Oryza sativa Japonica Group: one gene and its partners. The protein of the gene in region 3 interacts with the protein of the main gene of each other region in a biochemical or structural test. Links are inferred from orthologs where the notes say so. Each region holds a gene or a part of one and is shown on either strand. Other genes may lie near its edges. The genes, in order: protein TIFY 10b, mitogen-activated protein kinase 1, transcription factor MYC2-like and protein TIFY 9.

What was found.
Region 1: the proteins of transcription factor MYC2-like (region 3) and protein TIFY 10b form a complex in vitro, tested with the Arabidopsis thaliana proteins (3 studies listed by BioGRID). The link is inferred for Oryza sativa Japonica Group from reciprocal best matches to the Arabidopsis thaliana genes MYC2 and JAZ1.
Region 2: of the proteins of transcription factor MYC2-like (region 3) and mitogen-activated protein kinase 1, one has a biochemical effect on the other in vitro, tested with the Arabidopsis thaliana proteins (2 studies listed by BioGRID, with this or other methods). The link is inferred for Oryza sativa Japonica Group from reciprocal best matches to the Arabidopsis thaliana genes MYC2 and MPK6.
Region 4: the proteins of transcription factor MYC2-like (region 3) and protein TIFY 9 form a complex in vitro, tested with the Arabidopsis thaliana proteins (2 studies listed by BioGRID). The link is inferred for Oryza sativa Japonica Group from reciprocal best matches to the Arabidopsis thaliana genes MYC2 and JAZ10.

The regions. Positions count from the first base shown.
Region 1 is NC_089041.1:25,569,200-25,577,228, reverse strand, and holds protein TIFY 10b, read right to left. Parts: upstream 4,146-8,029; 5' UTR 3,888-4,145; coding exon 3,755-3,887; intron 3,617-3,754; coding exon 3,466-3,616; intron 2,946-3,465; coding exon 2,683-2,945; intron 2,575-2,682; coding exon 2,517-2,574; intron 2,421-2,516; coding exon 2,291-2,420; 3' UTR 1,885-2,290; downstream 1-1,884.
Region 2 is NC_089040.1:2,968,671-2,976,737, reverse strand, and holds the start of mitogen-activated protein kinase 1, read left to right. Parts: upstream 1-3,484; 5' UTR 3,485-3,636; coding exon 3,637-3,881; intron 3,882-3,968; coding exon 3,969-4,098; intron 4,099-6,655; coding exon 6,656-6,793; intron 6,794-7,852; coding exon 7,853-8,067. Other genes in the region: dihydroneopterin aldolase 2, read left to right, coding at 1-39. UniProt on the Arabidopsis thaliana protein: Mitogen-activated protein kinase (MAPK) which regulates abscisic acid (ABA) responses in a MAPKKK20-MKK5-MPK6 cascade involved in root growth (e.g. root cell division and elongation) and stomatal response.
Region 3 is NC_089044.1:23,545,285-23,553,426, reverse strand, and holds transcription factor MYC2-like, read right to left. Parts: upstream 4,072-8,142; 5' UTR 3,957-4,071; coding exon 1,857-3,956; 3' UTR 1,353-1,856; downstream 1-1,352.
Region 4 is NC_089038.1:19,856,940-19,864,923, forward strand, and holds protein TIFY 9, read left to right. Parts: upstream 1-3,294; 5' UTR 3,295-3,340; coding exon 3,341-3,461; intron 3,462-3,579; coding exon 3,580-3,770; intron 3,771-5,282; coding exon 5,283-5,370; intron 5,371-5,494; coding exon 5,495-5,549; intron 5,550-7,526; coding exon 7,527-7,638; 3' UTR 7,639-7,944; downstream 7,945-7,984. UniProt on the Arabidopsis thaliana protein: Repressor of jasmonate (JA) responses. Interacts with and suppresses RHD6 and RSL1 transcription factor activities to negatively regulate jasmonate-stimulated root hair development.

The DNA of each region.
Region 1 (8,029 bases), on a different chromosome or scaffold from region 3:
ACGTTATCGTTTTCGAAGTAAAAACCGATACCTGTTGGTTTACCGGAAACCGATAAAATCACCACTTTCAGTCAACTTCGTAAAAAACCAGCTAAAACCGCTCGGATTTTACGACAGATAACCAATGGTTTCACGAAAAATGAGCGGTTCTCGGTCGGTTTTCCACGATTGTCAAGATCCCTCTCTTTCTTTTTCTTCATTCTTGCGTGCGGGTATGAACTCTAAATCCATCACTACAGTTGCGTGAGAAGAAATTAAAGAACACAACCAAGAACTTAGACAAGGTTGAGGCAGTCTCTTTCTTGCAAGGATTCTTTCTGTTGCAAGTCACACAGCCAATTCGTTTTTCCCACTGTTTGGTAGCTACTGAATCATCGGTAGGTCGTTGGTTCATCCATCAGATGATGAACAGCTAGCTCGATTCAAATGGTCCATGCTGCCATTTGCAGTCCACTTCATGCCCCCCATGTGGCCGTGTGGTCTGAAGAACGCTCTGAATTTTGACCTGGATGGATAATGGATTACTGGACCCAATAAACCCATCATTAGTGCCTCGGATTAAACAAGCAATTGCATCCTGGAAACAAGGGCAGCATGTCTCCTGGACCACAGAGGACGGCACACGGATTTTGTTAGTTGTAACCATGAACAGCTTGAGCACATGGTGTGCCTTTTTGTTGTTATCTTTCTCTTTTGATAATTCTTCAAACACACAAAGGACGATTGGTAGTACGTGCATGCATCAACCGGGCAAATCAATGAGTAAATTACAAGGCAGAAGCCTGCAAGAAAAAAAAAAGGTATTGTAAAGCTGCCAAGATGTGTTAATTTTATCGGTTCGTGGAACAGAAGTAGTCTGACCAGATTGGCTGGATTCCTGAATTTGAAATTGATTCAGTGAAGAGTAAAGAGAGAGAGTTACACAAGCTCTCTGACAAAATTGTGTCACAAAGGAATGATCGAGAATGGCATGCAAAATCTTCTGTAAGAGAAAAAACTAATCAAAAGATTTGACAATTGGTAGACAGCAAGTTGCAGGAATGTGAGCACTAGTTCATCAAGTCCTTTTGTTAGGAGTATAATACAAACAAGTTGAGAAAGGAGAAAAAAGCAGGCAACTTGGCTCACTGTGGGCTCCCATGCGTCCAACAAACATCTCTCTCTGAAAAATGTCTTTTGTATGTATGTACTCCGTATCATGTATGCATACTGGACATGGATCCTCCGCAGTACAATTGGTTCAGTAGCAATCACTGACAGGTGGATCCGATCCCACATGTCAGTTGCTATTATCATATCGACAGTACTGCAGAGACTCCCGGTCACTGCATCCTTCTTCCCCCCCCCCCCCCCCCCCCCTTTGCAATTTCCAAACAGCTTCCTGTTGTTTTGCTCTTCATGCTTTGCTTTGCTTTAGCTGTCAAACAAGAATCCTATCAACTCATCTCCACCCCCAATTTCTCACATGTGCTCATATCTTTTGATTAAAGAATTGGGCATGGGGTGACAAGTCTTGCCTTGTGCACCTTCCTTCGCAAAACCCTTATCTTCAGCTTGACAGTGCCATCCAACCTACCCCAGGCTGCCTCCTGTGCTGCCCTGTATCCCCTTTGCATGATGATAAAATATATAGCTACAAAACAGAAAAGATTCATAGGCAATCACTAATAATTGTGTTTGTGGAACATCAAATATTCCATTAGTTTGTAGTTTGTGTATGTAGTTATTATTTTATGCTAAATAATGAGGTTTGCATTTAAGAAAAAATGAAAACGCGTCAAGAAAAGGAAAAAAGAAAGTCCAAGAGCAAATTGACTCTGCAGGCACATATAATGGGGACCAAATAATGCAGACATATTGGAGGAGGACCAAGCCAATAAGCCATGTAACAGAAATCAACAATAGGAATATGAATTATATTCTGAATCCATTACAATCACTTTGCTTTGCATAGAGCAAGGCTAGAGCCAAGGACAAAGCCAGATGATCAGAATTTCAGAAGATACATATATGTTTCCTTTGCAATAACTTTTTACCTTAGCATGGCCATTTTCAGAGTCACCATGTGTTAACATGCCAAAACTTCTCTCAGGCTCTCGGCACTGGTCGTCAATGCTACTACCTTTTTCCTTTACATTCAGAACTATGTGACAAGTGAACAACATAGAAGCACGAACTAAAGAAAAAACACTAAAACATGGGGTATGAGAGAACATATATGATTTGGTACTCTAACGGCAAGCGCATTTCATATATTTTTGAAGAGCTTTGGTGAAGTTTCCATGCAACCTCATTGGCCGCGTTCTATGGGCTTCACGACGGCGTTCGGCCCTAGTCCGAGCCATGGCTGGCTCTCAGGCTCCTTCTTGACTGGGGTTGCATCTGAAGGAGAAGCCTGGTATGGCGTCTTTGCATTAAGACTGTGACAACAAAAGGCGCATATTAGATCCATGAACTGCAGTGATCAAAATACTGAACTTAAACATCATGCAAATCATCACAGCAAAACAACTTACCGATCCTTTCTCTTCTCAAGGAACCTGTGGAGTGATGCCTTCCTAGCAATAGGCATATCTACACAGAAAAAAAGAGGTCACTTGATAACTGCTACAACAAAATTCAACTGGTTATGCGTTCAATACCCCGACAGACATGAACATCAAGAAAGGGCAGAGTAATTACCAGAAGCATTCGCGCGAGCAGGCTTCTGAGCATCGGCCTGAGCTGTAGGCAAGCTACTGACCGGGGCCGGCACGGCCATAGGGGCCTTGGTGTTGTCTGTAACAGCTGCTGGTGCAGGTGCCGCGGCATTCTGAGGAGCCACCGGGCTGCCCTTGCTAGCCAGCTGCATCAAGCCCTTTGCCTTGTCGGCTGGGAAGTCGTTGAACACGAGCACCTTCCCACCATAGAAGATGGTCAGCTGACGCTTCTCAGGCTCTTGTTCCCTGAAATTCATTTGCACAGAGAACACTATGAACACCTGGGATACCAGTATATCACCCCTCCAATTCTGCACCATCTGACTAACTCTATTTTCACCGGCAAGCATAAAAAGGGTTCTTTTTGAAACTACGTTTTCAGTGCCCCAGTTTAAACAAAAAAAAAACCCTAAGTTTGGGGTTAAAATTTTCTATTAACAAAGATAGGTAAAGTTTTTATAGATCCATTAACAACTCCCTGAAGTCTGAATGACCTAGTAACTCTGCTTGCCTAATTCCAATTAGTATCTGAACCCAAAGCAAAAAACAACAAAATGTTTACTCATAACCCTCTCTCCCCTCAACTAGATTTGATACCAAAAACAGTGGCTTCAACCTATTGAGGCACTTACAGCTAAGTTTTGTAGACTGCAAAATTTGTCATTTCTCTGCGTGATTCCAAGAACTAGGACACACACACACATACACCTAAGGAGCAGGAACTGCACAAAAATGAAGCAGAGAACCAAGTGGCATGGCCCCATACCTAGCATCAGCAGCAGAATCGGCGGTGATGGCATCCTGCTGGCCAAAGCCGGCGCTCTGCGGGAAGAGCTCCATGGTCTCCTTCTTCCTCTCCGCCTCCCCGGGCAGCAAGCTCATCGTCGCCGGCGCCGCCCTCGGAGCCTCACCCTCACCTGGAACCGAACCAAAACCCCAAACCTTGTGATCAGATCTCAACACGAAACCGAAGCTGAAGATGAAGATCCAACCAAGCCGAAGCACACCCACAAAAAAAGGGATGAGTTCTTTTTTTTTTCCCTTCTCCTCCTCACCTCTGATGCCGAGGCCGAGCTCGGCGGCGGCGGCGCCGTTCTGGCGGACGTAGCGGCTGAGCAGGCTGCACGCCATGGCGAAGCTCGTCGCCCTCTCCCCGCCGACGCCGACGGGCCTCGCGGAAGCCGCCATCTCTCCAAGCTCCCTTCCTAACTACCCGGCGTCGATCCAATCTCTCCTCCCCGCCGCTCGCCGCGCCGTTCTTGCTGCACCACCCCGGCTCGTCGTCGCCTCGCCGCCGTCCAGCTACCTCCGATTCCTCCTCTCGCCTTCCTGCCGCTGCTGCTAGTGGTTGAGCTGCGAGAGCGAGAGCTAGAGAGAGAGAGGCTCGTGCGCGAGCGTTTATAAGCAAGGAGAGGAGACGGAGACGACGCAGCCGCTGCGGTTTCTGGTCACCACTCAATTCGATTCAATTTAACCTCGCGGATTTTCTTTCTTCCCATTTTTTTCTTCTCCTAATTACCTACTTCCTCCCTCCAAAAAAAACAAACCCTATATATTTTCGTGTCCAACTTTAACTGTCCGTCTTGTATGAAATTTTTTTATAATTCTTTTAAATAAAAAAATATTATTAATATTTTATGTGTGACTTGTCTTTTTAATTTTTTTCATAATTTTTTTAAATAAGACGGACGGTCAAACGTTGGGCATGGAAGCCAGGGTGTCTTTTTTTTTTGGGACGGAGGGAGTACTCCGTACTGGAATAAGTTAATCTAACACAATGTGACATATTGTAGTAATACAAATATGTCTAAATTTATAGTATTATTACGATATGTTTATCCCATAATTTAATTTGGAATGGAGAAAATAGTTGCTCTCTTCGTTCCAAAATACTACTTATAAATTACCTTTTACCTTATCTCAATTATTACCACTGGATTCATCTCTATCCAACTTTGTTATTATATCATAATAAGAGTACTACGTTTTAGAACGAAGGGAGTTACATCTGTTCTAGAAATATACTCCCCCTGTCTCATAATATAGCAACCAATGATGAACACCATCAATCATTGGTTGTTATATTCTGAGACAGATGGAGTAAATAATTATAAAATAGATAGATGATGAACACCATCAATCATTGGTTGTTATATTCTGAGACAGATGGAGTAAATAATTATAAAATAGATAGATGGTACCCTAGCGTCTTAAAAAAAATTCAATTCTAGCTACGAATTTAGACACGTATGTAAGCTACGAATATATGCGTGTCTAGATTCGTAGCTAAAGTTTATCTTTTTTTAGACATAGTAGTAGGTATTAAGAAAGTAAGTAAAATTTATTGGAGAAATATTATGATTTGTTGAGATAAAAAATAAGATGAATGAAATAAATGGACGAGGGTTGTGAACTTTGTGATGGGTTAGAAGGATATTGATGGATAAATAGGTTTACTATAGAAGAATATTTTGTTATTACAAGTAACTGTATTTTGGAACGGAGTAACAGATTTCTTCTTTTAAATATTATTTTATTCAATTCGGTATCATTTCGCGGGCTGGGGGGGACGATGCGAGTACTAAATGCGCGGATTCCGCACGTGGTTCGTGTGCGGAGCGAGGGGGTGGTGGGCCCCACCGCGACTGCTCCCCTCCCCCTCCTCTTTTAAATATTCTCCGGATTTATTTTATAGCGATTTTTCGCCCTTTTCCTTAATTGCGGGTGGGGCCCGCGCCCCCCATGTGCGCGATCGATCGGGTCGGTACATGCAGCACGAGGCGGTGAGCGCGAGACGTGTCGGATCCGGGTCGGGTCGGGTTTTGGTTTTGGGTTTGACCCGACCCGGTTACACCTGGCTGGGGGGGAATCCATGATCCGTCTTGAATTTCTTGATAGTGGTTTAGTAGTAGCAGCAGCTTTGGGTTGGCTTTAATTTAATTTTTCAGGTCGGGTTTTGCTGCCAAGTGCCAACAAATGTAAGTGTTGGATTGGTTGTCATGGGTAGGATGAATGTACTTTGAGACTGGTACTTGTAGAGTACAAAAGGTTAGGTAGGATGGAACTTACCTGATCGTGTTCATCGTAAAAGTGACTAGAAAGTTTTGTGTATCTAAACATTGCCGTATACTTTCTGTCAGACTTTCGGATCCAAATAGTTGCCTTTGAATTTAGGTGAGGATACAAAGTAATTTTCTATGTGCCGGACATTTTAATTTACAGTAGGCGCCTCTGAATCTAGGTTAGGATGAAGTAATTTTTTTTGCGTGCCTATTCTTTTTACTTTAGAGTGGAAAAGTCTAAATAACTTTGTTTCATATTATAAATCATTTTGACTTTCTTTTTCTTAGTTAAATTTCTTTAGGTTTGAGTTTTTTGAGATGTTGCTAAATTCTTTTACAAACTCAATCAAATCTAAAGAAGTTTGATTAGAAAAAGAATTCAAAACGACTTATAATGTGAAACAGACAGAAGGTTAAGACCATAAACCCACATAATTACCATTCTTAAACTTGATTAAAAAGAAGGTTGGATCCCAAGTTCGCAGAAATACAATTTTTTGGGACAAATGTTAAATGATATAAATGTAATTATTCTGAGATAGAGGTAGTAGAACTTTTTGATTATGCATGTGTGATTATTGACAAATGTATGTAACAGTTGTTAATAGTAAAGAATCAAACACCAAATCACGTGTAGGTGCCTTTGTTGCCAGATGGCTAAATAGTGTAGCTTCAAATTTAAGAATTACCACTAGGTGCATGTTCACCAAATTTATGTGGTGTGAGTGTAGCGCATGTGTGTGCACACATCCCATATTGTACTTTAAAGGAAAGTAACACCAACACATAATACAGAGAGATTAGTCAATAAATTGTGTCCTTAACCTTAAGTACAACACTTTGGTGAAATAATAAGTTATGAAGTGCATGAACGTGATTGAGGCCTAAATTAACAGCCTTTTTGGAGGGATGTAGGGGGGGGGGGTGCCTGTCAAGCTGAAACTTCCTGCTCTCTTCCAACCTCATGGAAATTACAATTAGCATCGCTTTCATCTCATATCGTTGTCGGATATCGATGTTCCTTTCCCCAACAGCCTAGCTACAGTTTGCAAGTCCTTGATATATGATTTTCAAAGGGTTGCTTGCTTACACATGGCTAATAGGGCTCAATCAATCTGTCGGTGTAGGATCTATCAGATCGATCCATTTAGTGTAGCTAGCGATTTATTCATTCAAGTAAAATATATAGGAGATCAAGTAGAGGTCTAGGTTATTGGGATGGTGTTAAGGCTGCGTTAGTTTCCAGTAGTCGTTCCCAACTCCCCCACTCACATTTTCTGCACACACGCTTTTAAACTGCTAAACGGTGCGTATTTTGTAAAAAGTTTCTATACGAAAGTTGCTTAAAAAATCATATTGATTCTTTTTTTTAAAAAAATAGTTAATACTTAATTAATCAAGCGCTACTGGAACGCTCTATTTTCCGTGCGGGAGGTATTAGTTCCCATCCTCCTAAAACGAACACAGCTTAAGTGTAGAATTAAGCAAGGGAGGCTAACATAAGGCTTGAAACTATACATATTAACATAGACAAACAAAATCGGTTATGTATAATTCCTCAGTTGGTGAAACGGTTTTTTTTTTTTTTGGTGATGGTGGGTGGTAAAACAAATTTGGAGTAGAATTTTTCAGATGATAGGTGCACTTTTTTGTGTGTGTGGGAATAATAGGTTCATTTTGTATCAACGTATTCAAGTATTTACATGGCACTTTAGGAGCAACAGGACAATATCCATTTAAGGTCTTAAAACTGCCTCCCTGAAATGTGCTTTAAGTCAACTCAAGTTTCTTTGAAACTTCATATATGCGAATCGGTGAAATATCCATGTAAAACAAGCTCAAGTTTTTTGTTGAAAATTTCTATATATAAAAACAATATGAGATTTAGGGGAGATTGTGTTTGGAGAAATATTAAATTTCAATATCATACTCAATCACAGTCGAAAGATACCAAAAGGTTATATATTACTCCCTCCGTTTCGAAATGTTTGACACAGTTGATTTTTTAGCACATGTTTGACCGTTCGTCTTATTCAAAAACTTTTGTGAAATATGTAAAATTATATGCCTACATAAAAATATATTTAACAATGAATCAAATGATAGAAAAAGAATTAATAATTACTTAAATTTTTTGAATAAGACGAACGGTCAAACACGTGCTAAAAAGTCAACGGCGTCAAACATTTCGAAAAGGAGGGAGTACACTTCTTCACGGGTCTCATCTCACAATGCGTTGAGTGTTGACGAGCATGGAGCGAGAGGGCA
Region 2 (8,067 bases), on a different chromosome or scaffold from region 3:
AGAAAAGATGTGGGAGGCGATCGTCAGGAGCTTCATTGAGCCAGCTTCGTGCCGAGGATTACATCCCATTGCTCATCATGTCCATGGCATTACTTGAGTGCTCAACAATGCATTTCTGCAGCCGTTTTGTACCTCAGTGATTTCAACTGAAAGTTAGTCTCATGAGTTGTTCCCTTCAAGGTGGCTGAAGTTATCTTGGGGGTTGAAGTAGGTATCTTGTGTTTTTTGTCCAGTCCAAAACTTTGGCAAAAAAACTTTGCTTACAGTGACTTAAAATTAGTCAGGAGGTCAATTGATACTTTGCATCATAAAACCTTCATGCTCTGGAGCATGTCCTGTGATATAGCCTTTATTTTTCATTTATATTGTGGCATGCAAATTATGAGCTCCTTTTATTATGAGCAATTGGAGCTGTCATGTGGGCCCCACGTTCATGCTTGCTACAGATATTTGATATTTTTGCACATACTGGTCAAGCCCATTGTACCCCTGATCATCATATCATTGTTGAGTGTATCCCTTTTTTGAAGACAACATTTGCTTGAGGTATCACCGCGTCTCTTTATCAAGTTTTTTTTCAACGATAGTTTCGTCATCTATATTTTGTGGAGAATTTTTTTTTTTGGAGTATAAGTTCAGTCTTGTACTTTTGTTCTTGCTAAGTAACAAATTAGTTGCTATAAGATGAACTGTTTGCATAAAGCAGGTCCTTTCTAAGGCGCAGAGAAGCTGTGAGGAAATTATGCTGCATGCTGATTTAGCACACCTCTTTAGGTTTACGGATTTGAGGTCTTCAGGTGAGTGTAGTTTGTTACCATTCATAAATTGCCCTACCCCATTGATTCTAAAAACAAATGCTTTTTTCCGTACTTTGTTTCATGGTTTCTAACTACTTTTAGTACTCCCTCCGTTTCACAATGTAAGTCATTCTAGCATTTCCCACATTCATATTGGTGTTAATGAATCTAGACATATATATTTATCTAGATTCATTAACATCAATATAAATGTGGAAAATGCTAGAATGGCTTACATTGTGAAACGGAGGAAGTACAACATATAAATGATCTGCTTGGCTTGTCAGGTTCCAATATTTCTCACAGGGTCGCTGTTTCTCCGATCTATTATTTTACAGGGTACTACAGGTTGTGGATTATCAACAATGAATGGGATCCAATGTGCAGGTGATGATTTGTCAGGTTGGCAACTTCCATTCAAAACTTTGCGGCTACATTTTTTGGTTATCTGGATGAGTTGATTGTAATGCCGTGCAATGTAATCATCAAAACCTGTGGTGGATACAACTGGCAGTGGGGTGTACAGTTTATTTTAAGGAGGGGCAGCCCTGATTGCAGATCAATTCTTACGCACGAAGGATCTTTCAGTAATACAACAAGTCTTTTTCAGTGCTATTGTTTTGTACTGAAAATTGTCCATGGTCAGCATGAATCTGGATAGATTCTAAAGAAGGATTACCGGCCATCTTAATCCATTTCCTTTTGGTGGTATTCGTAGCTGTGAAGACATACACTAGAATTATACAAAGTCTTCTCATCCAAACTCTGCAGCAGGGTTATAATTTCTTCTTCTCCTGAGGCTCTACTACCAGAGATATGACAATAGCTTCCTGCATTGGAGGTTTCCTTGAGCTTCAAATAATTCATGGTACTTATAAACTCTTTTAGCATAAACTCTCATTTTTATTTGTTAGACCTGATTTGTATTATAATTAATATCAGTGTGTTTGCGGAATTAATTATTGTCCTGTTAACTTTGTTTCCATAAAGATGCTAGAACATCATTATTTTATCTATTGCCCTATCATTTCCACACCACTTGCCTCATATATTCCAAATTTCCAGCAAGTCCCTAGTATCCATAAAAAAAATCCTAATTAATCAGGATTGCAAGACTAGATAATGTTTTGTTCTTGTCCTTATATTGAAGCATTCATCGCAAAGAGTTCCTGTCCATAGCATTCACTGTCACATTCACCGGAGGGTAGTAAAATTCTAAGCTCTGGTTCATCAAACTTTGCCTAACTCATGGTACAATTTCCTTGGAGGATGCTAGCCGCTGGCAGGTTATCTATGCGTAATTCTACATCAACACGTGCCATTGGCATTTAAAGTAAGCAGTAAACAATGTTATTAGTACTGATGCTTATTTCTTTATCTCCACTGGATCAAGAAAAAACACCTTTCTGTCTCAATCATTTGTAGGAGTATGAAGTCTTCGACGAAAAAAAAAAGTGTTGGTAGAATGACATGAGCGGGAAGATATGGCGAGCAAAAAAAAATATGGAAGAAAATGACACCATTATCTGGCGCTAGATAGCATTCGCCGCCCTCGTGTTTGGTGTTGCTGAAGCAACCACCTTAAGCAAGGATAATAGTAAACTATAAGTTTATATGGAGAAGGAAGACAAGAAAAGTACAAAGCTCTAGTCATATGCTTCAAGGTACATGCACTAAATACATAAGCAAGAAAAGGTGAAGACAAATGTTATAGCCAATCTTATACTTGTAATATGAGTTTATAAGTAGTTAGCTCTACCATTCAACTTGAGTAAAGTGCATTGGCGGTCCTTCATCTTATAGGGTTGTGTTATATAGGCCTCTAAACTCTCAAAATACATATCTGAGTCACGTAACTTATCAAAGTGTATCATCTAGATTCTAAATTGACACATCACCTCTAGGATCCTACGTGGCGTTGATGTAGCATGCCACATGGACATGATGTGTCCTTTTCTTTTTTTTCTTCTTTTATTTTTCTTTTTATTTTCCATTTTCTTCTCATTCTTCTTTTTTTCCTTTTAAATTTGTAGCCAGCTGCAGCACGAACTCTAAGACGCAATGTGTATATGACAAGTGAGATCATATATTAATAGTGTAGTATATGTTTATAGGTAACTATTGTATATATTGGCTATTAAAGTAACTATAGATAATTTGGAGCTAGTAGTTGGTTATACTAATCTTGCTCTTAGAGCAGGTACAATAGCAGGCTATTAGCCAGCTATAAACATATTTTAATGAGATAAAAGATGAGAGAGAAGAATAGCGGACTTAGATCTGTAGCCAGCTGCAACACGGACTCCAAGACGCAGTGTGTGTATGACAGGTGAGACCATATATTAATAATATAGTAAGCAACTATTGTATGAATTGACTATTATGTTGGCTATAGATAAATTGGAGTTAGTAGTGGGCTATACTATTAAACTTGCTCTTATGGGTGTAAAGGTACTAGGTACAGAGGTAGTGTTCCCTCACGCTGTCGTCACCATGACACGTCATCAGTCGTTAGGGTCGGCACAGCATCTCCATTTTGCTACACGTCCCCCCACACCCACCCACCCCAAAAATGGGCCACGCCTAGTACCCGTAGCCCCGCGTGCCAACCATTTTATACCCCGGTGGGCCACCACCCCCACCTCCACAGCCCAAGAGAAAACACACGCGAGCACACACACACCCACACACAAAAAAAACACACACAAAAAAAAAAGAGGCGAGAGCTACAAAACGAGGCCGAAAGCGACCAAATCTCGCGACGAATTCCGCCTCCACTTTCCCTTCCCTTCCTCCTCCACCTCCACCTCCTCGTCGCGATCCAAATCCGAATCCGGCCATGGACGCCGGGGCGCAGCCGCCGGACACGGAGATGGCGGAGGCCGGCGGCGGGCAGCAGCCGCCTGCTGCGGCTGCGGCGGCGGGGGCGGGGGCAGGGGCGGGGATGATGGAGAACATCCAGGCGACGCTGAGCCATGGCGGGAGGTTCATCCAGTACAACATCTTCGGGAACGTGTTCGAGGTCACCGCCAAGTACAAGCCCCCCATCCTCCCCATCGGCAAGGGCGCCTACGGCATCGTCTGGTTCGTTTGCTCCCCCCTCTCTCCCATTCCGTTGGCGGCGGCGGCCTGATTTTGGTTTGGATTTTGGATTTTGGGTTTGGATGACAGCTCGGCGCTCAACTCGGAGACGGGGGAGCAGGTGGCGATCAAGAAGATCGCCAACGCGTTCGACAACAAGATCGACGCCAAGCGCACGCTCAGGGAGATCAAGCTGCTCCGCCACATGGACCACGAGAATGTCAGTGCTCCCGATCCGCTCCATTGTTTCGACCACGGAATTCCCTTCCCCCCCACCCACCCTCGATTTTTAGGCGCAGATTTTGAGATTCTCGTTGAATGCTCTTGTCTCTGGTTAGTTAAGTTGGTTGCATTAAATGGGGAAAGGAGGAGGAGGTGAGGGTTAGGTTACCAAATGATTGAGTTCGTCACTGCTCGGCCTAATTTGGTAGAGCTTTTCCCTCCATTCTTGCTGCTGATGATGAGTGCTGCGAGCTTCAGAAATAGAGGTAACTTTGGAGATGCCTTTAAAGAAGCCATCTGCCTTTTGGGGATGTTGTTATTCATTGTGTTCTTGAATAGTGGGGGAGCGAGTGATGTGAACAGACCTGACCTGGAGAGTAGCAACATCACATGATTCTCGTACGTGCTGATGTCACAAGCCACAACTAGCTTGAGGAGGAGGAGGAGGAGGAGGAGGAGGAGGAGGACCAATCTGGTGTTACACCTTTTTCCTAAGTCAGTCAAATCCAGTCTGAATGCAGTGGGAGTGACTGCCAGTGGGGAGGGAATTAGGGGATAGGAGTACTAGGAATTGTGTTATTGTTGGAAAGTTTTGAGATTGACTTTGTGTGTGCATGTTGGACTTGGACCTTTGAAATTTACCAATTTAAAGACTGACTAATAGGAGTAGCCCACTGTTGTATTTCCTGCGTAGGCCTGAAGTATCATTTTCAGCTTACCAGAGGCAACATATTTTTTCTATGGTTAGTGGTAGAAAGACAGCCACAGGGGAAGTGAATTAGAGAATAGGCCATATCTTCATAGCCAGCCCTAGAAAAACTCAGCTTCTTCTGAAGAGGTGAATTAAATTTGGATGGTCATAAATATTCCGTTATAATTAAACTAGTGGATTTTCCCATGCAAATATGAGAGGAGCTAGATTTAAAATTAGAGTTATATTTTGTATAGAATTTACTGGTCAACCTGGACCGTTGTAATCTAGACCCACCACTATAATAAACGGGCATATATTTATCTTTTTTCCCCGATTAATGTCGTTATTCTAGGCTTCTAGATTGAACGTGGTGGCACCCTTTTGCACCCTCTTTATTATAACATAATAGATCAATTGATACTTCCCTAAAAAAGGTTCATACAAAAAGTTGCTCAGATACTGCTTTTGCTGAACCATAGACTGGTTGACACAGGCATACACAAATGCATGCTCATGCCTTTTTTTGGAAGTTTTTTCAAACTAAAACTGATCCATTTTGTTTGTATCCTACTGCAGAAAGAGAAGTGTTTAATTTCAGGTTTTAGTGCTCCAATTATGCAGGGGAGGCTTTTGGGAGTTATACCAGTTACGGGTGTTTGTAGAAAACGATCGGATTAGGCAAATTTTGGAGTAGAAGTCCTTAGATAATGCACCTGCTTTATTGCCATCAGCTAAGATTGTGTATCAAGTCAAATTCTACTTTTCAAATCTGGCTATAAATTCAATTGTATGTACGGAAAGTTGGAAACATGAGCTAAGATTTGTACATCAAGTCCAATTCTACTTTTAAAATATAGCTTGCACAAAAAATGGCTATTTTGCATTATTACATAAAACATTACTTCCAAATTGGCGATCCTGTATTCTGAAAGATGTATTGGAACTTTTTTTTTGTCATGTGCACGTGCTGCAGGTTGGCTGCAGACAGAAGGCAGCAGCCCGAGTAGCGATTTCTGGCTGCAGTATATTACTTCAATACCAAGTTATCATTTAATTATGAAGTGCACTAAGCTGTTGCTTTCTATGTACATGTAAGCTTATCTATGAGATAAAAAAACAAACAAACAAAAAAAGCCCGTGGTTAGGATGGCTTGCGGCATTCAGCTAAGTCGAGAAAAATGCCCCTGAACGTGGCACGTCACTGGGCATGCTTAACCTCACGCGGGGAGCACTCTTCTACCAGCATTAACGAGGGGGGATTTTTTTTGTGCAAAACCTGGGCTTGAGCCTTGGTCGGTGTCCCCTCTACCAGAGACTCTACCACTGTGCTACACACACGTTTGTTCAGCTTATCTATGAGATAAATTATTAGAATCCTCTACATAAGTTATTAGAATTATGCAAAGTCTCCTCCATTGCTTCCTTCTATTGATCTATTATATGTCCATCTTCGTCTAAAGCCCTTTACTAGTCACTATTCAAGTCATCATTAGCTTGCTGTTCATCCCCATTACACACTCTAATTTTCATTTTAAGGGAAATGCATGTTGGTCTGCCTCCTTAAAAAACCACCATGTTTGAGCGTTTAAATGGCAAAAACACTTGAGCTATAACATTAAGCCATCATGAATAAGATAGATCTCTTTGTCAAGTCATTTTCATATGGTATTTCCTGGTCCATGCAATATGTTTGTTCTTGCTTTGGTTGGTCTGGACATAGTTGATTTACTTATTTTATCTACTCCTATAAGATATTTGGAGCTGGTCTGTTGTATTTCACATATCCAGCAAGCTCTTGTGTTTGCACATCGATGCTCCAAAAGGCAATAACTTGTCTCAACTTCCTACTTATGTGATGCAGATTGTTGCCATAAGGGATATCATACCTCCTCCACAAAGGAATTCATTCAATGACGTTTATATTGCATATGAATTGATGGATACTGATCTGCATCAAATTATTCGCTCAAATCAAGCATTGTCAGAGGAGCACTGCCAGGTACCTTCTTCAAAAGAAAAACACAACTTTATTTCCACTTTAGCATTTATTTCATACAAATGGCTTTTCTGGTCTGCTTGGATTCTCTTGCTTGTCTAGGCCTCTGCTCAAATTGAGTTTTCAAGACCTAAAAAGTGGGAAGTATTGAAGTATGTATTGATGGTTTATAAATGTTTTGTGTAAGAACTATAAGGAATTTGGTACAAAAGGTTGAATGTAAAGCTTTTATGGTAATTTTGTATCACATTTTAAGAATTCTGCAGGTATGCATAATCTTTGAAATTAAGAAACGAATTTAGCGACCTACTAATATACCTGAACGTACCTTTGCCCTGCAAAGCATATATGCAAAGTGCTACAATTAGGTTATCTCAGTGCACCATTGATCATTGGATCAAACTAACGTTTTCTTTGGAGATACCATATTATTTGCTAACCGATATAAAATCGAATAATGAGTTGATTGCTATTTATCAGTAGACCACATACTGTTAGGAGCTGGCGGCAAGGCACCGCAGCTCCGAAGGTTGTAGCAGTGCTTGACGGGAGGGTGATGCCGATGCCCTCGCCTCCCACAAAGCCATGGTGAGGAGAAACAGAGAAAAGAGTGGCCTTATATAGGCGATTACAATCTGCTAATGAATCAGAACTAACTGAAACAAACCTCAAATCTTAAGGGATAACTCTTATCTAATGCAAGCAACAGATAACGGCGAGAACGACACTGTGGCGTGCCATGCACGCTCACCGAACTCGTGTTCTTGAGACATTCAAAGGATTCCCCACATAACACATTCAACGTGAGAAGGGTTCAATGCCCAATCACACTGGAGAGGTCTTGCTGTATTGCAGCTTGCAAGCTCTTATGATCAATGCTACAGATAGATCTCTCCCTTTCTTGAGTGGAACTCTAGAATGGCTGCCTCACCTATCTTTCCTTATCCAGATAACTTGATTGTGTTCTCTTGTATTTTCCTTGTGCATGCATCTACCATGTTCTGAGAAATAATACATGTTTGGTATAACTGTTCTTGCGTAATTCTTTACCTTTTTGTGCAGTATTTCCTTTATCAGATTCTCCGTGGCTTGAAGTATATACATTCAGCAAATGTCCTTCACCGAGACTTGAAGCCCAGCAACCTACTTTTGAATGCAAATTGTGACCTCAAAATTTGTGATTTTGGACTTGCTCGTACCACCTCAGAAACCGATTTTATGACTGAGTATGTTGTCACAAGATGGTATAGGGCACCGGAACTTCTGTTGAATTCCTC
Region 3 (8,142 bases):
GGCGGCTTTCTTTTCTGGAGATGGAAGCAGACAAGATTAGCTGATTGTCACATGCTCATACCAATAATTGAGCGAAGCTTGTACTGAAATCGTGGCAAAAAAGACGAATTTGCACCAGCCGGGAATCGAACCCGGGTCTGTACCGTGGCAGGGTACTATTCTACCACTAGACCACTGGTGCTTGTTATTTGAGAGAATTAGTATTAATTACTTGTTTAATTTTACTGTTAACGAAAACGTGCGTAATCATCAACCCGAAACAAGCATAAACAACAGGAGTTTTCTAGTCTTTGCTGTTTGCTTACGAGAATTCAACAGGCAAAGAATTTTAATAAAAAAATAAAAATAAGAAAAGGAGCTACTGGAGCAAGACATGTTGAAACGCATGTGGAGATTAGAGCGAATAGTGATGAGTGAGCGAGCTGGGGCCAGATACTTACTTTTGTCGACACCGATGGCCCGTTTGTTCACGAGTCACATGCGCGATAACAAAAGCCGCACGCCACCCACGCATTTTTCTGCCCCATCCCACGGACCAAATTAAAAAATCAATTATCATTATTTTGCTGTACTAGTACAGTATCTCTCTTGTTGCGTTTGATTTGCTTTGTTTTGTTGGATGGATGGATGGATGGATGGATGAGGTGGGTTGGTTGGTTGGTCCTGGCCTGCCATGTCCTTCATGTCAACGTTCATTTTATCTCTCATCACTAAGGTGCTTTCCATAAAACATATATACCTAAATAATAAATTAAATTAATAATAAACCACCTCAATAGTATATCTACATAGGTATCTATAGCTATCTAATGCATTGCCTCGTTTTTCTATAGACTATCTTCAAGTTAGTAGATAGATTTGCTCTCTCTCTTCATTTAATCTCTTCCATATAGGAAAATATGCTGACATGGGTATCTTGTAGAGAGCATATAGATAACCATTGCGGGTGCCCTAAACCTAGCTTTGATGATCTATCATTCACACGCACATCCAGCTTTGTTTTGGTCTGTTTCGTTTTTGTGCTGCCAAGCCAAGAAGAGCAGCTCCTACTTTGCTTTTTGCTTGCTTCTCAGTTCTCCCTCGGTCGCTAATCGTACTGTGCTACTGCCTGTTTGTGATGGCGAGATCTACCCACCCAACTCACATGTGCTGCAAGACCATGTCCCCATCATGTGTGTGCAGGTCGTCTTCTCCGTGCTGCTCTCCGTTGAAGAAGAGATGGATCATTACGGGCTATGGCAGGACATGAACAGGATGAATAACTATCCATCCAACCAACCAACCACCATTCCTCCTCATCTCCTTGCTTGCAGTTGCTAAACATTAAAGTGCTGATGAGATAATAGAGTTGATTGATCAAGCAAAAAAAGAGCATATCCATTGCATTTTTTATTTTTTTTACGAGATCAAAAACACCACAACATGTTGTATTCCTTCCTTCCTCCCTTGTTCATTGGCATGATGATGGTACAATACCAAATCCTATATACAAAGTCTATCATATTTAGGTTTAGTAATTAACAAGGACCAACATATCGCCGATGATTTCTTTCCTCCCTTCCTTCCTTCCTGCTAACAAAGAAAGGAAGAAAAGAAATACCAACCGCTGCTATCAGTATCAAAAACAAGACGACGATCAGCAGCAGCAGCTTCAGCTTGAGTTGCGAGTTGATATCAATCATCCTCTCCATCCATCCATCCATCCTAACACAGATCTTTAAACTTAATTTTACAACAACAACATGATTTGATCATCGTCTCGTCGTCTTCTTGGCATTCCTGAAGCTCTGGCCATGGCTACGCCGGCTTGGGGAGAGTAGAGAGTATATCGATTGGGTTTCCTCGCTAGAGTTGAGTTACCGGGCGGCGGTGCCAGGCTCGGCGATGCGGGTGTAGAGCGCGGCGTTGAGCTGGTCCTGCGAGTAGACGCGGCTGGCCATCTTGACGGCCACCTGCTGGATCATGAGGTCCTTGACCACGGAGACGCTGGCATGGTACACGTCCAGGTCCAGCTCCCGCAGCGCCGTCATCAGCCGCGCCGCCGGGTGGTTCCGCTTGTGGCACTGCACGCGGATCATGGCCTCCAGCCCAAGGATCTTGGCCTCGATCTCCACCGCGTGGCACCGCGCCCCGCCGTCTCCGCCGCCGCCCGACGGCGCCGGCGGCCGCGCGTCCCGCTCCTTCTTGAGCGACTCCATCTGCGACTGCAGCGTCTCCTTGTCCGTCTCCAGCGCCGTGAGCTTCCCCCGGAGCTCGTTGATGTAGGAGATGGCGTCGCCCAGCAGCGACGCCTTGTCCATCTTGGACACGTTGGGCACCACGGCGCGCAGCGCGTAGAAGCGCTGGTTGAGCTTCTCCCGCCGCTGCCGCTCCGCCTCCACGTGGTTCAGCGGCTCCTCCCGCCCGTTCGCCGGCTTCCGCCCGCGCTTCCGCGGCCGCTTCTCCGCCTCCGGCGGCGGCGCCACCACGCGGCTGCTCTCCACCTCCCGCACCGACGCCTCCAGGTCCGAGTGGTCCGACTCCGACTTGGCCGGGGCGCCCGTCCCCGTCGACGGCCGCGTCGTCGGCGCCGACGAGAAGGACAGCATCCCCTCGTTCGCCGTCGCCGCCGGGTGGTTGTTGGTGTTGCTGGCGCGGGAGGTGGCCTCCATGGACCTCTTCTGGTTGTTGCTCTTGGCGTCGTTCGCCGCCGCCGTCAGCGTCGGCGTGTGCTGCGAGAACAGGCTCCCCGGCGCGGTGGTGAGGCTGGCGGTGGCGGCCGGGGGCGCCGGCGACGGATTCCTCCGGCCACTGCTGCTGTCGTTGCCGAAGTTTAGGATCTCGCCGGTCTCGGGCTTGAAGAAAGGCGGGGCCGCGGCGCCGCCGTTGGACGCGAAGTCGGAGAAGTTGAGCTCCCGGCGGAAGGGGCCCTGCTGAGCCTGGCTGCTCTGCTGCTGCTGCTGCTGCCGCTGGGGCGGCGCGGCCGGCTGCGAGGGCGTCGGCGCGTGCACCGACGGGCTGGGATTCTCCGTGAGCGTGCTGGTGCTCCCGTTCTCGAAGTGCTGGATCTGGTGCGGCGGCGGGGGTGGTGGCTTGGAGACGGAGATGTCTGCGGCGGAGATGGAGTCCTTCATGTCCATGGGGGGCGCGTCGGCGAGCCAGAGCACGGAGGGATCGGCGGAGGCGGCGTCGGGGTGGGGGGGCCAGGAGGAGGCGGCGGCGGCGCTGAGGTTGAAGAGGGCGCGGATCCTGGGGATGCTGTCCCCGGTCTGGAAGATGACGTCGGTGGAGCCGAGCTCGAGGACGCCGGTGGCGAGGGGGAGGCAGACCATGGTGCGGAGGCCGAAGGTGTAGGCCTGCCTGGCGCGGTCACAGGGGGCGGAGGACAAGCCGGTGGCGATCCAGGTGGGCTGGGCGGCGAAGAGGGCCTGGCCGGGGAGGCCGAGGCCGTTGGGGAAGGACTGGGTCATGGAGACGAGGAAGAACCACTCGGTGTCGGTGACCTCCTCCTCGACGGCCTCGTCGGGGGCGGCGCCTGCGCCGGCGATGAGGGAGTTGAGCTCGCGGAGGACGCGCTTGCGGTGCTCCTGCTCGGCGGCGGCGGCGGGGGTGGAGGAGCGCTGCTTGCGCTTGTCGTCGTCGCAGCCCTTGTAGTAGCCGTCGCCCCAGCCGAGGAGGGAGGCGCCGGTGGAGACGTCGATGGAGGACTGCCAGAAGATGGCGTACGTCCACGTCTCCCGAGACCCCTCGATGATCGACTGCAGCCGCTGCTGCAGCGTGTCCTGGTTGAACGCCGCCGCCGCCGGAGCTGCTGCAGGCGGCGGCAGGACCTGCTGCTGCTGCTGTTGGTGGTGGTGGTGAGGCGGCGGCGGCGGCGGCGGCGGGGTGGAGGCCGCCCCCCACGGGAAGGCCGGGAGGTCGGCGGAGGCCATGAACGCCTCCATCATCGACGCGTTGTCGTCCGTCCAAAGGTTCATCGATTTGATCTCGATTTCTTCTTCTTCTAGATTTGATTTGATTTGGAAGAGGACTCCTACAAGAGAAGAAGAGAATAGGAGGAGAGGAAAGGTGGGGATGGGTATGGGGTGGAATGGATTTTTGGTGGTGAGGAGAGGAGATAACAAAACCCACATGGGTCCCATGGCTAATCACTCAAATCAAATCATATTTAGTGTCCAGGGGTATTTTCGGTATTATCACTCCTCCTATGTCTACACTCCTAATTAGCGATCATTCGCGCGTCCGCCAGCCGCACCATCACCGCTTCACTCATCTTCCTTTTTTTAGCCATACCATGTTAAATCGCCCGCAATTCCTATTTTTCGCTATCAACGTGTGGTATGCATGTTTCCACACAAATCATGCATATGCGCATCATTCCGTGATTAGCCTCCACGATTTGTATACTGCAAATAATAAAGTACAGTATATACTAATTTTCTTTTCAGCCTCCCTGAAATAACGAGTATTTATACATAATAAAGTTTATAAATAGAAAGTTTGCATGCATTTTGTATATCGTGAATTTATATATAGACCTTTATTTAAAAAAACAGAAGGTTTTTTAAATAAATTTTTTTTATAATTATCTTAAAAAAATTTATAAAAGATTTTGACATCTTTAGGATGAATTTATCTAGTATAATTTATAGTAAAAATAGTTATAAAATAATGATAATCTAAAAATATATATTAAAAAATAGAATTTGAAAGAGCGATTTTCGGATCATCGGTGCGCTCACATGGTGGCTTGGGCCTATGGGATCGCTCGCCTAGCCGCCGCAACCACCCTCCTATCTCCTGTTTGTGTAACCTCCCTCCGGGTAATCAGCCTCCGCTCTCGCTCGATCCCACATGTCAGCGTCCTCCCCTCCATACCATGCTCTCTCTCCCTGCTTTCCTCTCGTGGGAAGTGTTTTACGATCCCTTATCTTTGTAGATTTTACATTACATGTTAGGAGGCAGTGGTGGAGCATATGTTTCGCTCGATCCGAATTTTGACAATGTTTTATACTACTACTAAATCTTTTTAGGACTTTGTGGATCACATCGTATTCCTTTGAAGAAAAATATAAAATCACGTGTGCTTCTCCCAGAAGGTTCATGCGGTCCTATGGTTAAGTTTAAGACGAATTCTATCATTATCAAGAGTTACTCAAGCCTTAAGGCTATTTTCCCCTTCCTTAACTTGCGGGCAGTTTTGTACTATTGTCATAAAAAAAAGATCAATTGACTGACAGCAATGTTATTTTCATAAGAGCAAGTTTCATAAGTATAACTCACTGCTACCTGTTACTCCATCCGTTTTAAATTGATCATCATATAATTTTATTGATGTTATTTCTAAATGATATCATATTTGCATTCATTCATTAAGTATATTCGTTTTTGTGCATTAGAGTAAATGGATATTGATTTATGCATCTAAGAATAATGGGGATGATGCATACACCAAGTTTGTTACTGGAGTAAATATAGGACGAGAGAAGCTTCCTTTGGTCTTGGTACATCTACGTAAGATGATGATCAATTTGAAATGGAAAAAATAGTCCATATTAAAAGTTAAAACCAACACATATAATAGATTAGTTATAAGGTTATAGCTTTAATTTTTCTCTTTGTCTTTATCTCAATGATACATTTAATGTATTTGTGTTAGGGCACGTGTTAGAACTATCTCTTGTATGAGAGCTAACCTTTTTTTTTCTATATACCTTCTTCACGTAAAATTATAGTAGACTTATAACTCGCTATTATCCTTGTTCCTTGCTCTAAGATGGAAAGGAATTACGGCGCATAAATGCTCTTAAAGAGATCGATGTAAGAGTGGTAAAAGTTCATTTTCATTGTAGTACACTAGTACTATTATCTAATAGGGGTTGTTAATTTGTTTCACCATCACAAGTCATTAGTTACACCATTCCACATTCTGACGTGGGCAAATTTAGGCGCATATTTAACTCATACCATACATATGTATTGTATATCTTCCAACAAAGTACATTAGACAAGTTGGGGGGAAAAATTTGTGTGCAAAAGGAAGAATAAAAAATAAGTAAATTGTTCCTAGTAAGCACCTTTTTTATCGTGCCCGTGCATGATGAAGATATTTGTACATGTGCGTCCACGAGGGCCGTAACACACAAGTTGTGCTACTATACCCTCCCTCCCGTTTGACCCTGTTGGCCATTTCAAACATGTTTGACCGTTTATTTTATTTAAAACTTTTGTAAATATTATTCAAAAACTTGAATAGTAGTAGTATATTTAACAATAAATCAAATGATAGAAAAATAATTAATAATTTCTTAAATTTTTAAATAAGACAAACGGTCCAATATGTTTTAAAAAGTCAACGGCGTCAAATATTTACGAACGGAGTGAGTATATAAATAGTACGGTGTATTAATATAAACATGTTTGCATGTGTAAGTAGAGTGGTATTAGTGCTAATTAAGCTAGCTTAGCACATGTGGTTGCAGAGAGTTTTTTAAGAGAAGTGTGCCTCTACATCCAACTGGATATATACAGTAATTTTAAATTAAAAACTTAGCCTATGAAGTACGGAATTTAGCTCCCAAATAATCCAATCTAAAATTCACTTAAAATTAGGATTTTAAGGTGTTACTCAGGTCACTGTAACTACTGGGCTAATAAATGTGGCTGCAGAGAGTAGATATAACAACGATTTGGGTTGCTTATATAAATACTCTAGCCTCGTCGTCGCTAGCAGCAAGTGACCCAGCCGCCCGATTTGACCGTTGACCCGATCGATGAGTTGGGCCACGTGCAGGAAAGGCAGGTGAGGCCCACGAGGCAGTGACAGGAATGATAAACTACTGTGCTAGTTGGGGATCGATCTTATCATTTAAAACCTGCCAGAAAATCTGGGCCGTCCATGTTCACGTGTTTAGCGAGGGCAGAAGCGTGCTTTTGCCCCTTGTGCTTTTTTAAATTAATCCCCGTGATTTGAATCAAATAAAATCGCGACATGGGAGGTGGTGGGTGTAGCGTGGCCGGCGTGCCGGACAGGTCCCTATCCACGCCCTTCCCTACTGGAATGATCGATCAACACCGCTATTCAAAATGAATAATAATTCGAGTGTTGTTTAATTTATATTTGATTTATGCCGAGCACATGCAAGCTGTTTTTATTTTTTTCATTTCGGTCGGAAAAAAAAAATGCTTCGCTCACTCCAAATAACGAACCTGCGAAACCACTTATGAGTTATGTACGTGCTCGTGCTCAGGTATTTAGCTTCGCCCGTACATCCAGACTATACTCCAACCACACTAGCCTTGAATGGTATAGTAAGATACTCCCACCGTTTCTAAATATTCGATGCTGTTGATTTCTTTTAAACATATTTGACCATTCATCTTATTAAAAAAATTAAGTAATTATTAATTCTTTTCCTATCATTTGATTTATTGTTAAATATACTTTCATGTATACATATAGTTTTACATATTTCACAAATTTTTTTAAATAAGACGACGGTCAAACACGTGTTAAAAAGTCAACGGTGTCAAACATTTAGAAATAGAGGGAGTATTATGCTATTGAATTATCACTTAACAGGGTTATTAGGAGTTGGGTCTCCTTTTTGGGTGGGGCACCAAATCCATGTCATTGGAGAATAAACTAATGAGAGTGCTCGATAACGATAATCCTTGTGATGTTGTCGAGGTACCCAAATCTAAGGGCACGAAGAAGCTGTGGTTGAGCGAGTTGTGTAAAGCAGTCGTGGTCGATGTAGCCAAAGTCAGGGATAAAAATGATGAGAAAGCCAAACCGCAATGTCGGTGGCTAATTCAAGGGCAACTGGACCACCGTGCTAAAGTAGCAACAATGTCCGTTAGAAGAAGATGTGGCAGCGATACTTGAAGTAGGTGAAGAAGACCTCAAGTGGGTGATGTAGACCGATGCAGACAACGAGGATGTCGTGTGAACGGCGATCAAGATGAAGAGAGTGGTGACACTAAAGTCCGAGTAGAACAAAACAGCTACGGCGAGCAACGTTCCATGTAAAAGCAGTGACAAGAAGTCCACAAGCGGTGAGGCCATGCTAAAAAGGGCACATCTTAGTGACAAAACAATGGGTGTGATCCATGGGTAGGCACCCTGAAGCTTAGTGACAGATGACGCTCGTTCTTGAACAC
Region 4 (7,984 bases), on a different chromosome or scaffold from region 3:
TACTCGATCCCCTCTCATATGCAATTTTTAGCACGCGAAGACAAAGTGTGTGTTTGGACTAGCAGCAGACGAGAGAAAATTAAAGCGTACGTGCCAGTTGTGTTGGTCGACCATGCGTATCATCGATCGGGTCGTTTTCTCGTGGCTCTGCTGTCTGAGATCTCTCATGCATACACATCCGATCGATATATCCATGCTCTCACGTTCCGACCTTATCTCACCTCACGATTAGTGGGGCGAAGCCATAATTTATACTAGCTGAAACCCTAACCCCGCGCATTGTAGCGGGATATTTTCTTGAGATTGGTGGCTGCATTTGGTAAATTGAAGTGGTACAAAAATCCATCACTATTGAATTGGTCCACGATAAAATTAGATGGGCCTCCCGTGGTGACGGTGTGAGATGGATTCGGCTGTGTTTTTTTCATCCAACGGTTCAAAGATGATCGAATCTACTGATCCAACAACTGAGAATTAATGATGATGTGACACATTGAGGTTTGAGCTTTAGGATCTTAATTGCACTTAGTGGGTTATAATTTTATAGTAAGAAGGGATAAGAGTAGAGGTAAACTAGTATATGTTTTTGTTTTTCTCTAAAAAAAATTTGAAGAGTAATCTCGATGGATATTTGAGCGTAGGAGTAGGGCTAGAGATAGTGGTATTTGAACCTACTGAAGATGATGAAGATAAAGATAAGTGTTTCACGTAAAATGATGTGGTAATAACGTGTGATTAATTGAGTTTTAATTATTACAAACTTAAAAAATAGATTAATCTAATATTTTAAAGCAACTTCCATATGAAAAGTTTTCGCACGAAACACACAGTTTAGCAGTTTGAAAAGCGTGTCACAAGTATCCAAAATTTCATCAACTTCTATATCTGCATATGTGTGATGTCACCCTCGGTTGTCCACCCATGCATATGATGCTTGATTGTCGATTGCATGCACGCAAGGGAGCTACCATATCTGATCGCAGCATGTCCAGCGACAAGTTAGAGTTTATTTACTCAATCTAATCTTAATTTCTTAATCTAAATATAATCACCTTAATTTCTTATGCGGAAATAAATTGATTCATTGACCTTGATGTGAAGCCATTTAAGCCGATGATCTAATCCTTTTATTTTTCTTCTTCTTCTCTTTTCTTTTTCTTCTTGCGACATACATCACGAATCCTTTCCAGTGATAAAATTGATCGGGCGATTGAATTAGGGCTTTAGGGTAGAGAGGATTCGGTGAAGTCGCCTTTGCCTCTTCTCCTCTTCCTAGACATAAGGACATTAGTGGGGTCCGGGGGTTTATTTCCAAATAAATTTAAATCTATTTTGTACGATCACACATAACAGATTTTATCTCTACTTTATTTCTTGTTAGGAAAATAAAACCGATGGAATTTAATTCTTTTCCTAACTAACCAATAATGAATTGATAAAATCAACCAACATGGCCATCAGGACGAATCAATTGACCAAATCCTAATAGCCTTCCCTGAGTCGCTTCAGTTCTAGTGATTGATCCTCAACACTATTGGGCAACCTTATTTCCTGGTTACGACGAGTTTTTCAATAGTTTGGAGGTGTGGCCGTAGAAATTAAATCAACAAGCATCGACACCATTATTGTTTTGATAGCATGGTCGATTTGTAATTAAAGAACACAATAATATATAGGAGTCTTCAATCACTAATAATGCTTTTGTCCAAAGTGGTGACTGGTGAGCACGACAGTTTAAGCTGTTTGGGTGGGAGGGCCTTTCACAGAAATATAAGTCCCTCCATTAGTTTCTCTAAAAAGAACATAAGTTTCTCTAGAAGGACATGTATTCCTATCCCTCCATAGGGATTTATATTTCCGTAAGAGGACTAATAGAGCATAAGAGCTAGGCTGCACGGGGGTCCTCAGCTACCCGCGGCTAGCTAGCACACATAATGGTTGATAGTCGGTCGCAAATCAATACCACAAGACATAGGCCTTGTATCCCTTTTCGATTCTTTTCTTTATTATTGTAACTTGTTGTACAACTTATACATATATTCTCTAAAATATTTGTTGTTAAATGGCTAAATAACCGAATGATTTATGATAATTAAACTGAGTGGGCAAACAAACGAATAAATATATTATATTTTTTATCTATCTATACCTAATTAAAAAATCTATAAAGCTTCCGGTAATACTTTTTTGTCCGTCTTTTTTTCTCTTTTCTTGGCTGTTTTTTCTATCTTTTTTTTTCTTTTCTTGCTGTTTTTATTTTCTGATCCTTTTTTGTCCGTATTTTTCTCCTCTTTATTTTTTTCTAGTTTTTCCCGCAGCAGTTTTTCTGCCGCCGCCTCGATCTATCTTCTTGTACCTTTTGTCCTCTTATTGATTGTAAAAATAGATCCCTACTCATTTCTTATTATTTTAATTTCCTTATGATTTTCCCTTACAATTTGGCTTTAATTCACCGGATCTAATCTCCAGCCGCCGCCTGGGCTGAACCCTAACTGCGCCATCACATCGATCTACCTCCCCTTACGTTTTCTCCTTTAATTAATTGCAAAAATTGATTCCCCATCCTTCCCTCATAGTTTCCCCCATGATTTTCCCTTTCAATTCGGTTTTAATTAATTCGTTGGATTCAATCTTCGTTTAACTGTCACCAATAATGACCGACCGACGAGCTTCCCCATTCCATTTTTATCCAGAGTTTTACAGATTTGCTCTGTTTTTGGGAAACAGAAAGAGGAGATCGAGTGAATCAAAATCCCTTGGCCAGGGAGATCAAAAAAGAATCAGCTGGATTTTTATGGGAGGGCACACAAGGATTCTCTCCCGAAGGTTCAAGACGGTATACTGAATGACATTGCCAGCTGTGATAACTAAGTATTTGTGGACTGGACGAAAGAGAGGCAAGCCGAGCAGGAAGAGATAGGAGACATCAGACTGTGCTAGGGCTAAAAAGGAAAAAAAAGTAATGAGCTTTCGGCTCAAAACGAAGAAAAAATTTTGATTAACATGTTTTCAATTATAGTGTATAGCAATTATAATGTTTCAAGCTATTGCTCAGTTCATAATAGAGTTGTTATACCACTAAGAAAAATGTATTTACCTGTTGCAACGTATTGATATTTTTTTCAAGTTAATCATAAAAATACATTAGCGTTTGTAAGCTTTCTAAAAACGTGCGGGTTAATCCATCGTTTTCATTGGTTAGAAAAAACGAATGGGCGCGGGGCCTCTTTTTTTTATACCCCGCGCGCACCTCCCAACCCAACAAACACCACATTTTGCAGCTGCTTCTAATCTATACGTGTTCTAGCTAAGCTAGCTAGCTAGCTCTCGTTCTCCGGCCATGTCGACGAGGGCGCCCGTCGAGCTCGACTTCCTCGGCCTCCGCGCCGCCGCCGCCGACGCCGACGACCGCCACGCCAAGAGCGGCGGCTCCTCCGCCTCCTCTTCCTCCTCCATCCGAGGTACGTGACGTGACGTCTGTCGACGTCGCCGTCGATCGATGATCTCATCTCACCGCCGCCGGCTAGCTCCGTGTCCCTCTCGATCGATCTGAGTCGATTGCTTGCGTTGCGAGAGCAGGGATGGAGACGAGCGCGATAGCGAGGATAGGGCCCCACCTGCTGCGCCGCGTCATCGCCGCCGCCGGACCTCCGCCACCGCCGTCGACGGCGCCGGTGCCGGAGGAGATGCCCGGCGCCGCCGCCGCCGCCGCTCCGATGACGCTCTTCTACAACGGTTCAGTCGCCGTCTTCGACGTCTCCCACGATAAGGTGTGTAATATACATGAGTAAATTATATTGGTAGTATATAAACTTGTTAGCTGGATGCAACTTAGTGAATAAACTTGTAAAATGCTTATTTCGATGCATGAACTTGTCTAGTTCGTGCGAACGAGGACTAAAATAGCTTGGCAATGTTCGTTTTATAAAGCTGATGTTGATTAGGATGTGACGTGCATATGTGTAGTGAGTATATATAAGATATGCAATATTTATAAATTTCGTCTCTACTTTATTCTTCATCATGGAAGTGATGAATTTCATATATTTCTAACCCTTATATCATTGCTTTTTTTAATCTTTTTTCTACAATCACTATATCCATTCTATTTTTTACTAAAGAGGTGTATTTCTAATAGCAAATCTTCACGTATATATGTTTACATGGTATCCTAATGAGCCCCTAAATTAATAAGATTAACCAGGTAGTGTCCTTTTTCCTTCCTCCGCACGCACCAGACAAGTTTATGCACCAAAACGAGCATTTTACAAGTTCGTGCACTAGATTGCACTCACCTGACAAGTTCATGTACCGGCGATGCAATTTACTTAATATATATTTATCGTCTAAGTTAATTAATCACAAATTATTAGGAGATTATCCGCGATTAGTTAGTTGTTAACACAGTAATATTATATTAATACTGTCGTCGGAGATAGAACGGCCAGCGAACCGGGGCACCTGTTGAACACTTGTACCTTCACCTTCACAGAACGCGTGTGATTACAAAACTAACGAAACTCGGCGCGTTACTGCTGCGAGAATTATGTATAAAAATATTATAAATAATACCCCTTTTGTTTTTTATTATATGTGATATGCTGTTGACTTTTCATTGATCATTCATCTTATTAAAAAAATTTATGTAATTATCATTTATTTTATTCTGATTTGATATATCATCAAATATTCTTTAAACATGATTTAAATATTTTTTATATTTACATAAAAATTTTGAATAAAACGAATGGTCAAATATTTGTAAAAATTCAATGGCGTCATATATTAAAAAATATTAAAAAATGGAAGTAGTATGTAAGATAGCTGGATGATTATTTACTTTATATAATTTTCATCTTTGATTGATCAATAAAAAATTATAAACAATTAAGATGATATGGTTTATAACAATTTAAAACATTCAAAAAAAATGAAACTAAGGTGATGTGACTTAATAGCAAAACAAAATAAAGGGGGATAATATAGATTAATTACCCAAAGACAAAACTACGATGATATGACCTTTCCTAGGAGAAGAAAAGTCTGTCCATTAAAAATCATACAGCGTTAACATAGAATTAATTTACAATCAAAATCATGGTGTAGGATCGAACTGCACCAAGTCTAAATTAAAAGAGTTCTTGTTTTTCATGCATGATGGCTGGAAGGGATGCGCACAATGATATACTATCTCCCTTAAATTAGCTTGATAGTGGTAGATAGTACAATTTCATAGAGATACAATCTTCTCAATGCTTTCCCTTTCCATATTCCATCCCTAGGCAGAGGCTATAATGAGGATGGCAACCGAGGCAACTAAAGCAAAAGGACTCGCTCGTGGCAATGCAATTGTAGGCAATTTTGCCAAAGGTTTGTTAATGTTAGTAGAATTGTTGCGAAAAGTAATCAGCAGAACAACAAAAATATGTTCTTTTTTAATCTGTTTTTTTTCCTGTGGCTTATAGTATTGTTCTTCAACTCTTCTTGTTTGCAGAGCCACTCACAAGAACTAAATCTCTGCAACGATTCCTCTCCAAGAGAAAAGAGAGGTATAGACAATGCAATTTTCATATATTTTGTTTGTCACCTAAATACACATTTTTTCCTACTCCCTGCGTTTCAAATTAATTATTATTCTAGTTTTATCATAAGTTAAGCATTTGTATTTTTTACCACCAATTTCCAGAAGTTTATATAATTTAACATCATAAGATTTATGTTTTGTATTCACTATGAGAAAACTTTCACAATATATAATCACATGTTTTTGCATTATTCAAATTTTTAGATATCAACGAACAAAATAGAAATATTTGACTTAGGACAAAATGAATGTGAAGTAATTAATTTGAAAAGAAAAGGAGTATGTATAAGTACATAGAAATAATGATTTGATCAAACCTTTTCAAAAAGAACTCAATTACACTTAAATAAAAGAGTATTAACATTTTCATTATTTCTCTCTCTAATTGGAATCTTCAGTGTGAGACTAGCTATCTACCTATAGTTGTATACTGTGGAAGCTCATGGTAGCTAAAGCTACCACATGGTGAGCTGACCGGAGACCCCAGAAGCCGTGTGGGCCCGGATGAGCAGTGCCCATCGACCTCTTACAACCACGTTTTAGTCGTGACGAATTAGTGCATGGAAAGTCTATGGGCTATGGATCATATCGACATGTGTGTGGAGGATAGCAAGTTTGCATATGCAATATCTCGATCGATTTGGTGATGATATATATATCGCAATGAAATCGATATATGGGGGCTGTACTACTTCATTGACCAACTAGCTACCGAATCAAATTAAGACTTATCGCAGCTAAAGAAGCAATAAACTAACTGAAAGCAAAGATATGTCTTTGACCACACCACACGCACATATCATTAAGGCTTTGATTTGATTGTGCTTTAAAAGATCGGTTTGGTTCTGGTTGTGTGTTGGCTAAGGTGGTGTTTGGATACAGGACTTAACTTTAGTCTCTATATCTAGACACTAATTTAAAGTATTAAATATAGACTACTTATAAAACTAATTACATAAATGAAAGCTAATTTGCGAGACAAGTTTTTTAAGCCTAATTAATCCATAATTAGAAAATATTTACGGTAGCATCACATAGACTAATCATGGATTAATTAGGCTCAATAGATTCGTCTCGTGAATTAGTCCAAGATTATAGATGGGTTTTATTAATAGTCTACATTTAATATTTATAATTAGTGTCCAAATATCCGATGTAATAGGAACTTAAAAGTTTTAGTCCCATCTAAACATGGTCTAATTCGTTTGTCCCAGACTTGAAAAATGTGGCACTGATTTCTCTTCCTTTCAAATATATATATATATATATATATATATATATATATATATATATATATATATATATATATATATATATATATATATATATATATATATATATATATATATATATATATATATATATATATATATATATATATATATATATATATATATATATATATATATATATATATATATAACCATTAACTTTTAAACATAACATTTAACCATTCTTTTTATTAAAAAAATTAGTGTAAATACGATGAAAAATAGGTAGCCTTTAAATTATCTTCAACAACAAAATTAAGCCGCAACAAAATAATATGATACCTATACAGCATTTTAAATAATACAAATGATCGATCCAAAAGGGATCGAATAAGTGATACTTAGATAGTTTTTCAAATAAGACACATGATCAATTCGAAAGTTAACATCATCATATATTTAAAAATTTAAAAATTGAAGTTAGCCAAACAAACAGGTGTAGTAGGGTAGTGTAGTAAATTGTTGGCTAATTACCATCCTGCTCAACGACGTTGCCAGTGTCACTTTCCATCCTTTTGGGGTAGCTAGGTGTTGACCTAGTTAATACTCCAATAATCACCACCAAACCTAGCTACTTTGTTACCCACTTTAACTAACGAATATATATATATATTTTGCATTGCCTTTTTCTTTTCTTTTTTTTCATTACTAATTGATATTGAAACGTGCAGGTTGACCAGCTTGGGTCCGTACCAGGTGGGTGGGCCCGCTGCCGTCGGTGCGACGACGTCGACCACCACCAAGTCTTTTCTTGCGAAGGAAGAGGAGCACACGGCGTCCTAGCTAGCCTCCTAGCTAGCTAATTACTGTTGATTTGGTCCCCTTGATTAATCGTTTATTATTAATAATTATTTCATTGATTCCATCATTAGTAGAGGGTACAGACCAGGCAGGGGCCAGTTAATAATCCTGTTTAGTGTTGATCGATCGATAGATTAACCATACTCCATATGTAGGTCTGTGTGTAATATTGATTTATATATATAGTAGTATCTATAGTTGATTACAAGGTCATGGATTTTATGGATGTGTAAAGCAAGCTTAGAGTGAATATTGGATGCATTTATGATTTATACTATGTAGTTGTACAAATTACTCCATCCATGTGCCTGAGTTATTTTGTTTTTTT